Linked DNA regions of Arabidopsis thaliana. The protein of the gene in region 1 interacts with the protein of each later gene in a biochemical or structural test. Each region holds a gene or a part of one and is shown in the gene's direction. Other genes may lie near its edges. The genes, in order: MEA and FIE.

Region 1 (6,952 bases):
ATCTATTATTTGTTTCAAAGAAAAAAAAAACACACGACGATTATCCATCTGCCGGCTGTGTTCATCGGTAAACCTATATTTTAAAACTGGTGGGCTTTTCATTACCATAAGTTTGGACATGTTTTTATAATTTGATGTATAGTGTAGACCAAAAAATAGAGAAATAAGAAAGGGAACCTTTGTGGTGATTGTAACAAAACAGAAATCATTATATTGAATCATTCGAAAAGACGAAAAGATCAAACCTTTGTAGCTAGATGACCATAGACGTGGCTGCCAATTACAGTCTTAATGCTTTTATATAGATCTTTCTTACATCCTCTGTTCCTTCACATTCAAGAAACAGTATCATCCCATTTTCTTTCTTCTTCTCAGTGTTTCAATCTTTGCGAATTAAGATGGAACATGAAGAAACACAAAAGAACACAAGAAACAGCTGGTCCCTGATTCGACCATTTCAAATGATCTCCATTAGCTTTCTTAGCCTCCTCCTCCCTCTATCTTTCCTCTTTCTTTCACGTCTCTCTCTCTATACCTCCTCAACTCCGGTCACCGTCTCCGGCGTTTCCTCTGTTATTCACCAGGCAGATGTCGGAGTCTTATACACGATCTTGTTTCTCATCATCGTCTTCACTTTAATCCACAGTCTCTCAGGAAAACCAGAATGCTCTGTTCTCCATTCCCATCTCTACATCTGCTGGATCGTTCTCTTCATCGCCCAAGCTTGTGCCTTTGGGATCAAAAGAACCATGAGCACGACCATGTCTATAAATCCAGACAAAAACTTGTTTCTTGCGACACATGAAAGATGGATGTTGGTTAGGGTTTTGTTCTTTTTGGGGCTACACGAAGTGATGCTGATGTGGTTTAGAGTCGTGGTTAAGCCTGTGGTTGACAACACTATATATGGGGTCTACGTGGAGGAGAGGTGGTCCGAGAGAGCCGTTGTGGCAGTGACCTTTGGTATAATGTGGTGGTGGAGGCTAAGAGATGAGGTAGAAAGTCTTGTGGTGGTGGTTACGGCGGATAGACTTAACCTCCCCATTCGTTTGGAGGGTCTCAATTTTGTGAACTGGTGTATGTATTACATCTGTGTTGGAATTGGTTTAATGAAGATCTTCAAAGGGTTTTTGGATTTTGTGAATACGTTGACTTTGAGCATTAAGAGGTCGAGAAAAGGCTGTGAATCATGTGTTTTTGATGATATGTGTAATGATGATCATGTGTAAGATATTTGACATATTATACTCATCTCTTGAATGTTTTTGAGATTTTTTTATTTTTATTTTCTATTTCTTGCTAGGAATTTAACCCGTATATATGTCACAAAAATAGTAGAATATCAGAAAGCAAAAATATTTTATCTAAAAATAACCATTGAACATTAATTTAAGTCTTTTTATAATTATATTTTTATAACACACCCTTTTTAAGAAAAACTTGGAGATTTAATTAACGTTATAAATAGTAAAAAATATCGGATTTACGTAGAAGTTTTAAATGCGTATAATTAAATTTACGAATTGAATAATATAGCCATATATATATTTTTGAAGATTTAAACTCATTTTGTTTCTTCCATATATGCATAATATATAAGCTTAAATAGAAAACTAGCTAGGAATGAATACTAATATATATAATGACATTAATATAAGTCTTACCGGACACTCCAAAATGTATATATTGATCTATCAACATTTTTTCATTGGTTTACTAAACCAAGTTGTCACATAAATATGAGTTAACGCCTTTTTTTTTATAATATTGTATATGAATTTAAACTTGAGCTGTCAAACGTCAAGCAAACCCAACATCTACATACATATAGTACTATATTTTGAAAATTAAAATTTTCTTAAATTTCCCATATTATTTTCCTTTTAAAGCAAGCAAGTCCAAATACGTTTCTTCCAGATTATAATTTTCCTTAATAAGGTTTTCTACAAAAAAAAATCAACTTCTTATTTAAAAAACCCTTTGCATTATCCTTTTCACCAACATCAGAGAAGACGAGAAAAAAAGAAGAGGCGAGTGGTTAATGGAGAAGGTTAGTTTCACTCCAAACATATATGAATTGACTAGGTTATGAAATCCATATATTTTAATTGTGTGTTTATGATAGATCAATAACATTTAGGGTTGAATTTTCTTGTGATCTATTATGTTATTCGTCCCATGCATGATCCATAAAACTTTTATTTTTGAATTTGTCTAGGAAAACCATGAGGACGATGGTGAGGGTTTGCCACCCGAACTAAATCAGATAAAAGAGCAAATCGAAAAGGAGAGATTTCTGCATATCAAGGTAAGAGACATTTGGTTGCTTTAATATTTTATTCTCTTCTGTATGTTTTTCTGAAAATTAAGGAGAGGAGAGGACTTAATCTCATAACTATACGATTCCAAAGAGATGTTAAGATACATCTAATAAACAGTTATACATTAGTCATAATCTTTAAAACTAAAAAGAGAAATTTCCAAACTTTTAAATTAAAAACAGAATTTAGAAAATGCCAGCGAATCGATAACGACATCCAGATCTGTCGGGTATCCAAAACTTAGAATAAAAAAATAATTAATATATTTATAATATAAAGCTGGAACTTAGGTTATAAAATAAAATTGAAAATAATAGTAGATTTTTTTGTTTTTGTCAAACAAAATAGTAATACAATTTGTTTTTTTTAGTACAAAGAAACTAAATAGGTCCAAATTGTTTTTTTTTTAACATTCAGCCAAAAAAGCCAAGATTGATGCATATATCAAGAAATCGAAATCAAAACTTTTGTATTCAAGTATTCTAGTTTCACTATATATAGAGTCCAGTTTCTGAAATTTAAAAAATCATTTACCTATATATTACTTGATTAACAGAGAAAATTCGAGCTGAGATACATTCCAAGTGTGGCTACTCATGCTTCACACCATCAATCGTTTGACTTAAACCAGCCCGCTGCAGAGGATGATAATGGAGGAGACAACAAATCACTTTTGTCGAGAATGCAAAACCCACTTCGTCATTTCAGTGCCTCATCTGATTATAATTCTTACGAAGATCAAGGTTATGTTCTTGATGAGGATCAAGATTATGCTCTTGAAGAAGATGTACCATTATTTCTTGATGAAGATGTACCATTATTACCAAGTGTCAAGCTTCCAATTGTTGAGAAGCTACCACGATCCATTACATGGGTCTTCACCAAAAGGCATGTGTGTTTTTTGTTTCGTACTAGTTTCAAAATATTAATCATATACTATATAGTAATCACTCATAGTGCATATATACATTTCTTTAACATTGCAGTAGCCAGCTGATGGCTGAAAGTGATTCTGTGATTGGTAAGAGACAAATCTATTATTTGAATGGTGAGGCACTAGAATTGAGCAGTGAAGAAGATGAGGAAGATGAAGAAGAAGATGAGGAAGAAATCAAGAAAGAAAAATGCGAATTTTCTGAAGATGTAGACCGATTTATATGGTTAGTTTTTGCATTACATATGTTCTTGATTATTAATTTGTAGTCCATATTTAATAAACTGCTCAAGAAATTTTCAGGACGGTTGGGCAGGACTATGGTTTGGATGATCTGGTCGTGCGGCGTGCTCTCGCCAAGTACCTCGAAGTGGATGTTTCGGACATATTGGTAACAATATTCGAATAAAAACTTCATACGTCGATCAATAACTTTCCTGCTTATTTAATTTTTGTTGTTTTTCGTCGTGAGAAATGTTTTAAATTTTCAAATCTAATGTAGGAAAGATACAATGAACTCAAGCTTAAGAATGATGGAACTGCTGGTGAGGCTTCTGATTTGACATCCAAGACAATAACTACTGCTTTCCAGGATTTTGCTGATAGACGTCATTGCCGTCGTTGCATGGTAACTTTGAATCTTTCTTTTTTAATTTAGCCACAAAAAAGGGAGATGATCATACATGTTTTTATTTTATTTTATCATTTGTTTTACAGATATTCGATTGTCATATGCATGAGAAGTATGAGCCCGAGTCTAGATCCGTAAGCATTAAATTCATTTAAATTATTTTGTTAGTTTCACAACCCTTATATATAAGGTTAAGTGATTAACTTAATTAGATTGCTTTGGCTTGTCAGAGCGAAGACAAATCTAGTTTGTTTGAGGATGAAGATAGACAACCATGCAGTGAGCATTGTTACCTCAAGGTCTCTATCTCTCTCCCTCTCTCTCTCAATTTTTTTGTCTATTCCTTAATTACGTTTATTAGTTACTGGTTTAATATTAAATAGGTGAGGAGTGTGACAGAAGCTGATCATGTGATGGATAATGATAACTCTATATCAAACAAGATTGTGGTCTCAGATCCAAACAACACTATGTGGACGCCTGTAGAGAAGGATCTTTACTTGAAAGGAATTGAGATATTTGGGAGAAACAGGTAAAAAAATAAAAATAGATTTAATGCATTAATATATATACTTACACTGTATTCCTTGATTATGCTGGTTCGCAGTTGTGATGTTGCATTAAACATACTTCGGGGGCTTAAGACGTGCCTAGAGATTTACAATTACATGCGCGAACAAGATCAATGTACTATGTCATTAGACCTTAACAAAACTACACAAAGACACAATCAGGTACACTAACCTATGTCGTAATTATTCTCATGACATGTATGTTAAAAACACATGAAGTTTCCTATATGTGTTGATGGTTTTATCACAGGTTACCAAAAAAGTATCTCGAAAAAGTAGTAGGTCGGTCCGCAAAAAATCGAGACTCCGAAAATATGCTCGTTATCCGCCTGCTTTAAAGAAAACAACTAGTGGAGAAGCTAAGTTTTATAAGCACTACACACCATGCACTTGCAAGTCAAAATGTGGACAGCAATGCCCTTGTTTAACTCACGAAAATTGCTGCGAGAAATATTGCGGGTATGTCATTCAATTTTTCCTAAGCCGGAAGATCCATGAGATTTAATTTGAACATGAGTTTGTATTTTTTGTTCAGGTGCTCAAAGGATTGCAACAATCGCTTTGGAGGATGTAATTGTGCAATTGGCCAATGCACAAATCGACAATGTCCTTGTTTTGCTGCTAATCGTGAATGCGATCCAGATCTTTGTCGGAGTTGTCCTCTTAGGTAACACTTTCACTTCAATATCTCTTTATACAAATTCTATAATCAAAGTAATTCAAACCAAAAGTCTTATAAAAAAAACTTTATATATAGCTGTGGAGATGGCACTCTTGGTGAGACACCAGTGCAAATCCAATGCAAGAACATGCAATTCCTCCTTCAAACCAATAAAAAGGTAATCAACGTCAAATCCGTACCGAAAATTTAAAACTAATTATACGAAAGACATTTAACTATCATTTCCCGTATTTTACTAGATTCTCATTGGAAAGTCTGATGTTCATGGATGGGGTGCATTTACATGGGTAAGCAATCATGTAAATATAAGAATAAGTTTAATAGTTATTGGTGCATTCATAACACTTTTTTTTTTTTAATAATGTTTTATACTTTAGACCATTAAATATATTGTGTGATATGGTTTGACCCGTCAGGACTCTCTTAAAAAGAATGAGTATCTCGGAGAATATACTGGAGAACTGATCACTCATGATGAAGCTAATGAGCGTGGGAGAATAGAAGATCGGATTGGTTCTTCCTACCTCTTTACCTTGAATGATCAGGTAACTTCAGAATAATTTTGAAGTAACGTTTTAATCATTCGCGGGTTACACATCTATTCGAATCAAAGTAACATTTATTTTACAGCTCGAAATCGATGCTCGCCGTAAAGGAAACGAGTTCAAATTTCTCAATCACTCAGCAAGACCTAACTGCTACGCCAAGGTACTAAGCCGTTATACTTTATCTTGAACAAATACTAACATTATACAAACAAAAATACTTATGTTAGTTTCTTTAGTTAAATCGTGTATCAACTTTACTCGTCGTTGATTGGTTTTCATATTGAAGATATTCCAAGAAACTCAAACTCATTTTAAATGATTTTTTCTTGTCGAGAAAATTTAGGTTACGAAAATTTATGGTTTCGTGTGCAGTTGATGATTGTGAGAGGAGATCAGAGGATTGGTCTATTTGCGGAGAGAGCAATCGAAGAAGGTGAGGAGCTTTTCTTCGACTACTGCTATGGACCAGAACATGCGGATTGGTCGCGTGGTCGAGAACCTAGAAAGACTGGTGCTTCTAAAAGGTCTAAGGAAGCCCGTCCAGCTCGTTAGTTTTTGATCTGAGGAGAAGCAGCAATTCAAGCAGTCCTTTTTTTATGTTATGGTATATCAATTAATAATGTAATGCTATTTTGTGTTACTAAACCAAAACTTAAGTTTCTGTTTTATTTGTTTTAGGGTGTTTTGTTTGTATCATATGTGTCTTAACTTTCAAAGTTTTCTTTTTGTATTTCAATTTAAAAACAATGTTTATGTTGTTAGTTTGCATAGACCTTTGGAAAAAAAAAGCTTTGCACAACTTTACATTTATTTAGTCTTCATTTAGCGAAAAATCACATAACACAAGTCTGTGGTACGTAATGTACAAAAATGTCAAAATAATGGGTTTTATCATTAAAAAAAAATATTGGTTATGAATGAAGTATAGTTAGAATTTTAGGTATTAGCTCGTTTGGTTTTAAAACGTTTTTCGAGATTTAATTTTGTAGTCTATTGAGTAATACATGGAAGAATCATCAACAAAGTGGCTGTAGCTTACGAAAGGTTTTACTTTAATGTAAATATGTATTTGATGCATCTAACATTTAGTATCTAAACAAATAAAAACAAAAAAAAAGAAAAAAGCTCTTTAAAATCCGAAAGTAACTATTTTCAAAAAATCTAAATTATAAACTTAAATGTTTGGAATCGCGAACGACTATTGCTAAATATAAATGCTAAATATACATGAAGATGTGAAAAACATGTTGGATTTGTGGAATCG
Region 2 (5,859 bases), on another chromosome or scaffold:
GGAAAGAATAAAAAATTATCGGGTACAATTAGAAGAGTAATGTGTTTAGTTTGGTTTTTACTCGGATACCAGTTCAGTTTTCACGTATTATTCGATCCTATAGGAGCAATTGTGAATTAGTTGTGAGATTTTGGGAGCATTCGCTTCCAGAACTTAGTGCTAGGAGAAATGCTATTTTCCTATAAGAGTTGTACGAGGAAGCGAGCAAGTACACAACAACCACAAAAGCTTTCAATACTTGTTTACTCCTAGGGTTTAAAACTAGAGGTTCTATAGATCTCTAAATTTTTTTGAACAAATGTGTTTTCCACACGTGATATTCTACAATACCACTCGAAAATTATCCATAATTGCTTTAAACTATTTTTTTGTTTAAATTATATAATTTGTACCGTTGTAAACTGATTATTTCAAATTATAATTAAAGCACTATAATTTCATATATTACATTCAACATATATTAAAATAAACTATAACCATGTATTTTTTTGTCTTCCTTTCCTATAAACATTGATTGGACTCTATCGTAAATTTTGTCGTTATCGCAAATTTTGTCGTTATCGATGAGTTTCTCAAAGTTTGGACCTTGATTATCTTGTTTGGAGATGTTCAAATCGTTATATCCAAATAGTGAACTTCTAATTTTCTTTTTTGATAATGTGACTTATTTGGAAAAGTATTCCAAAGTATTCAAATAAACCCTTTAAAAATCCATTAAATACATTTTAAATAAGTAAAATGCTCTCAACGAAGAGATATCATGGTAAATAACAACAGTGAGAGGATAAAATGTTAAATCAATTTATTTACAACTTCAAATAGGCGGACATCAAACCTACTTAGCACACTTTCTATTTTCAAATTGGTTATGGTTTGTCTATTAGTTGTTGCATCTATGTTTTTTAATTCTTATATCGGTGATCTTGATTTTGTTTTGGTGTATCTAAAATCTATTTTAGTTAAAGTGCAAGAAAATAAAATAAAAACTTAAGGTAAGAGATGAAAGTAAGCTTTAAATAAAACAGAGCACTTCTATGGTCGATTATAGAGCCAAGTTCGTTCCTCCATTTTGGCTTAATGCAATATTACAAGTAAATCTTATAAAACTTTCCATAAGTATCGTATTACCCATGGATACTATGATATATAAACTCTCGGAGGTGTAGTCCAGAAGAAATGATCCATATTTGCATACAGTAAACTTGATGGAAAAAATATGTGGTACTGTTGGAATTGTAGCTATTGAGTATCAAATTTGAGAAAAAGGTAAAAAAATATGTAAAATTTGGGTGGAAGAAAAGAATTACATAAAATTGAGAAATGTATGTAATTGACAAAATAATGTTTTCAAAACATAAAAACGTGATACCATTTAAATCCAAACCTTATATCATTTAACCATTTTTAGTAAAACTAATAGTAATGAATGGTCAATAATATAAGATTACATATTAAATAATTACTACTTTCAGAAAATTTCAATCAAATCTATAATATTCCTTTGAAAAAAAAGAAAGACAAATAGGTAAACTTCGATCGTATCAATCAAAGAATATATTTATTTTTCATCGTAACGTTTAATTCTAAGTCCTATTAAAAAACGTTAAATTTGATTTTTCTTACCATTTTTTTCTAAAAGGTGAGTTGTGTGTTGTGTCAGGTCCAAAATAAAAGTTTGTCGTGAGGTCAAAATCTACGGTTACAGTAATTTTAATAACCTGTGAATCTGTGTCTAATCGAAAATTACAAAACACCAGTTGTTGTTGCATGAGAGACTTGTGAGCTTAGATTAGTGTGCGAGAGTCAGACAGAGAGAGAGATTTCGAATATCGAATGTCGAAGATAACCTTAGGGAACGAGTCAATAGTTGGGTCTTTGACTCCATCGAATAAGAAATCGTACAAAGTGACGAATAGGATTCAGGAAGGGAAGAAACCTTTGTATGCTGTTGTTTTCAACTTCCTTGATGCTCGTTTCTTCGATGTCTTCGTTACCGCTGGTGGAAATCGGGTAAAAGATCTCGACTTTCAATTCGAAATCACTGTTTTCAATTCTGGGTCTGTTTAGGTTTTGATTCAGATTGATTGTAACATTAAGGCCTTTCCTTTTGTGTTTGATTTTGGATTCTGATTTCTAGCCTTTAGTGAGATTAAAAGATTGAAACTTTGCTTGATGCTATAGTCTAAGATTATGTAACATTTAGTTCAAACTTTCTGGTTTTGGAGATTTTGTGGAAGATATGGTTTTTGTTTTCTAATTTAAAGTGAACTCATTACCTTATACACTTGATTTGCATTCTGTTCTAAAAAAAATTGAAACTTTGGTTGATGTTGTTAGTCTGCTTATCTAAGGAGGTTCCTTTTGAAACGGTCATCAAGTGAGTTATGAAGCGTTTAGTTTAAGCTTTCCTGTATTGGAGATTTTGTGGAAGTTATTTTTTTTTCTAATTTTGAAACTAGATAGAGTGAAGTCATTACCTTATACATTAGACTGCTCTATTTTGTTTTCAATGTGGGTTCCGAATGTACCTGATAGTGGCTCTTTAGGCTCATTTGTATTCGTCGAAACATCGATCGGATACCCGTTTGGGCTTAGTAGGCTCTGATACCGCGTAAAGTTCTCGGGTTCCATGAAAAACCAATCGGTAATGAGTGGAGTTAATTTGTAATCGTCTTCGGTCGAGCATTTGGGATTAGTGGGCTTTGATACCATGTGAAAGTCCTTGGGGTCCAATCGGCAATGAGTAGAGTTAACTTGTAATCTTACACACTTGGTTAGGTCTCATTCTCTTTATAATGTTGTGTGCCTAACAGTTTCCGCACTAAGGTTGTTTGGTTGCTCAGTCTCAATATACTTATCTTAACTAGTTGTAGTTTTTTTCATCTTTCCTAGTTTCCGTTGGATTTTAAATTGAATGATTTACTAGTTAGAAATATTTGAGTTTCTCATAGAAGCTTTAACCAAGGGGTTCTTTCATTTAACCTTTACTTAGCTAGTTCATGAATCTCATTACTGCCATTGGTGTATCTCTTATTATGTAGATTACTCTGTACAATTGTCTCGGAGATGGTGCCATATCAGCATTGCAATCCTATGCTGATGAAGATGTAAGGAAGCATACATATTAGCTTTTCCATCAAATTAAAGTAAGTGATGTTTCACTGAGGCCATTTGGTTATATTTTGTCTATGTCCTCTGGAGAGCAGAAGGAAGAGTCGTTTTACACGGTAAGTTGGGCGTGTGGCGTTAATGGGAACCCATATGTTGCGGCTGGAGGAGTAAAAGGTATAATCCGAGTCATTGACGTCAACAGTGAAACGATTCATAAGGTATTATTGCATTTTTATGGATGTTCTATGTATCCTAGCAAATGATTCTATATCTTTCTTGTATAATCTGTGCTCGCAAATGTGCAGAGTCTTGTGGGTCATGGAGATTCAGTGAACGAAATCAGGACACAACCTTTAAAACCTCAACTTGTGATTACTGCTAGCAAGGTATATCTCTTGGCTTTCTTTTCTTCCTAAAGTATCCTGACTTCTTTTTTATTTGTTGGTGATTAAGAGCTGTTACGTTTTAATTGAATAAGGATGAATCTGTTCGTTTGTGGAATGTTGAAACTGGGATATGTATTTTGATATTTGCTGGAGCTGGAGGTCATCGCTATGAAGTTCTAAGTGTGGTGAGCCAATATTGTTTTATCTAATTCAGTTAGTTTTCTACAATAATATATAGAGACAATGTTAAGGGGAACCATCTTATTTTGAAAATTGTAGGATTTTCATCCGTCTGATATTTACCGCTTTGCTAGTTGTGGTATGGACACCACTATTAAAATATGGTCAATGAAAGGTACGATCGAGCACATATTGTAATAAACTTCCATTTTAAAAAACCTTTTGAGAAAAATGGCTTGTGGTTCGTTTGTATGATCTTCTTATTCTTTGGCTGTCTATAGAGTTTTGGACGTACGTCGAGAAGTCATTCACATGGACTGATGATCCATCAAAATTCCCCACAAAATTTGTCCAATTCCCTGTAAGTATTTTGTTTTAGCCTTGTCTTGTAACAACAAGTGACATACAAATATTGGTGATGGCCTTTGTAAATAACATTACTTCTATATGTAGGTATTTACAGCTTCCATTCATACAAATTATGTAGATTGTAACCGTTGGTTTGGTGATTTTATCCTCTCAAAGGTTAGTAAGTCAATGATGGTTAAGATTAATTCATTTGGTGTACTGTTAAAACACTTTACTCTTGTGTTGTTCTATCGGATTTTAGAGTGTGGACAACGAGATCCTGTTGTGGGAACCACAACTGAAAGAGAATTCTCCTGGCGAGGTTAGGATCTCATTGTTGCTCCAAACACAACATAATCATTCATTTCATCACATATATTTACAGTTGAACTTTTTGTGGTTTGCAGGGAGCTTCAGATGTTCTATTAAGATACCCGGTTCCAATGTGTGATATTTGGTTTATCAAGTTTTCTTGTGACCTCCATTTAAGTTCTGTTGCGATAGGTAATCAGAGAGCTCGTTAGATACAAATTTGCATTCTATAGATAGATTACTTCAACTTTTCTTATTCATTTTGTGACAAATTACTCGCTGGTTTGTTATCAGGTAATCAGGAAGGAAAGGTTTATGTCTGGGATTTGAAAAGTTGCCCTCCTGTTTTGATTACAAAGTAAGTTAGTTTCGGATTCAGATACAATGTTTGATCTTTAAGAAATGTTTTAGTCTTGACATGATTTTCTGTTGCCATATAGGTTATCACACAATCAATCAAAGTCTGTAATCAGGCAAACAGCCATGTCTGTCGATGGAAGGTATAAATCCATCTTCTCTCTCACCAATGCAGTGAAAATTTCTTAATGTTATTTATGACTCAATAGTTACTGTAAATCAAACCAAACTTTGGATTCTGACACACTGTTTCTTCCATGGGATTGTAGCACGATTCTTGCTTGCTGCGAGGACGGGACTATATGGCGCTGGGACGTGATTACCAAGTAGCGGTCTGAGTCTTGTAGGAATTGATGAATTAGGAGTGCGAAGAAATGAGATATCCATTCTTTTATTGTAATTCTGATCATGTTGCTACTCCCTGAGACCTTGAGATGCTCTTTGTAGCCTTGTTAACGTCCACCCTTGTACCACAGTGTATACCCTTTCTGGAGATTTTGTCTTATTCTCTTAGTTCAATACACAAGGCTGTATCCTGGAGCTTTATTGCAGGAACCACTCTCTTTCATAAGCTTTCTAGTATTCAAAGCATTGTCCCATGCTCCATTAGCTGCATACACACTGGCCAAATTGATGTAATTGACTGGTTTCCTCGGTTCCATACTCAGAAGCTGCGTGGCTGCTACTTTACTGAGCTGCACATTCCCATGGCGCCTGCATGCATCAAGAAAAGCTCCCCATGTTGATGAGCTAAGACTTACAATACCCTCTTTACTTCTTATCAGTGCATAAGCTTCTTCCAAGTAGCCACTGCGCGCAAGCATATCTATGATGCAAGATAAGTGCTCTTCTCGAGCTTCGATTCCGTGCTTGTTGATCATTGTGTCGTAAATCTTCCAGCCTAGTTCGGTTTGTCCTGTATGACTACAAGCAGAGAGGAGAGAAAGAAATGTAACGTCATTCGGTTTGATCCTTTCATGCTCCATTCTGTTATAAAGATCAATTGCTTTCTCAAAATTCCCATGTCTTCCATATCCTGCAATCAAAGAGGTCCATGATCTCACATCTTTCTCTTTCATCTCTTCGAAAGCCAGGACTGCATCCTCGATTTCCCCAGACTTTGCATACATATCTATCAGCGAATTCCCCAAAGCAACATCGAATC

What was found.
Region 2: the proteins of MEA (region 1) and FIE form a complex in vitro, tested with the Arabidopsis thaliana proteins (2 studies listed by BioGRID).

The regions. Positions count from the first base shown.
Region 1 is NC_003070.9:542,755-549,706, forward strand, and holds MEA (SET domain-containing protein), read left to right. Parts: upstream 1-1,978; 5' UTR 1,979-2,041; coding exon 2,042-2,050; intron 2,051-2,218; coding exon 2,219-2,308; intron 2,309-2,877; coding exon 2,878-3,209; intron 3,210-3,307; coding exon 3,308-3,481; intron 3,482-3,558; coding exon 3,559-3,646; intron 3,647-3,757; coding exon 3,758-3,883; intron 3,884-3,972; coding exon 3,973-4,020; intron 4,021-4,116; coding exon 4,117-4,185; intron 4,186-4,269; coding exon 4,270-4,418; intron 4,419-4,493; coding exon 4,494-4,620; intron 4,621-4,708; coding exon 4,709-4,917; intron 4,918-4,993; coding exon 4,994-5,125; intron 5,126-5,215; coding exon 5,216-5,297; intron 5,298-5,379; coding exon 5,380-5,427; coding exon of another isoform or gene 5,428-5,499; exon of another isoform or gene 5,500-5,500; intron 5,501-5,556; coding exon 5,557-5,685; intron 5,686-5,770; coding exon 5,771-5,848; intron 5,849-6,060; coding exon 6,061-6,240; 3' UTR 6,241-6,448; downstream 6,449-6,952. Other genes in the region: AT1G02575 (uncharacterized protein), read left to right, coding at 399-1,229. UniProt on the Arabidopsis thaliana protein: Polycomb group (PcG) protein. Catalytic subunit of some PcG multiprotein complex, which methylates 'Lys-27' of histone H3, leading to transcriptional repression of the affected target genes.
Region 2 is NC_003074.8:7,248,229-7,254,087, reverse strand, and holds FIE (Transducin/WD40 repeat-like superfamily protein), read left to right. Parts: upstream 1-1,635; 5' UTR 1,636-1,833; coding exon 1,834-2,010; intron 2,011-2,853; exon of another isoform or gene 2,854-3,041; coding exon 3,042-3,107; intron 3,108-3,206; coding exon 3,207-3,329; intron 3,330-3,416; coding exon 3,417-3,497; intron 3,498-3,589; coding exon 3,590-3,682; intron 3,683-3,776; coding exon 3,777-3,852; intron 3,853-3,958; coding exon 3,959-4,038; intron 4,039-4,130; coding exon 4,131-4,202; intron 4,203-4,287; coding exon 4,288-4,347; intron 4,348-4,432; coding exon 4,433-4,529; intron 4,530-4,631; coding exon 4,632-4,695; intron 4,696-4,777; coding exon 4,778-4,837; intron 4,838-4,963; coding exon 4,964-5,024; 3' UTR 5,025-5,209; downstream 5,210-5,859. Other genes in the region: AT3G20730 (PPR superfamily protein), read right to left, coding at 5,210-5,859. UniProt on the Arabidopsis thaliana protein: Polycomb group (PcG) protein. PcG proteins act by forming multiprotein complexes, which are required to maintain the transcriptionally repressive state of homeotic genes throughout development.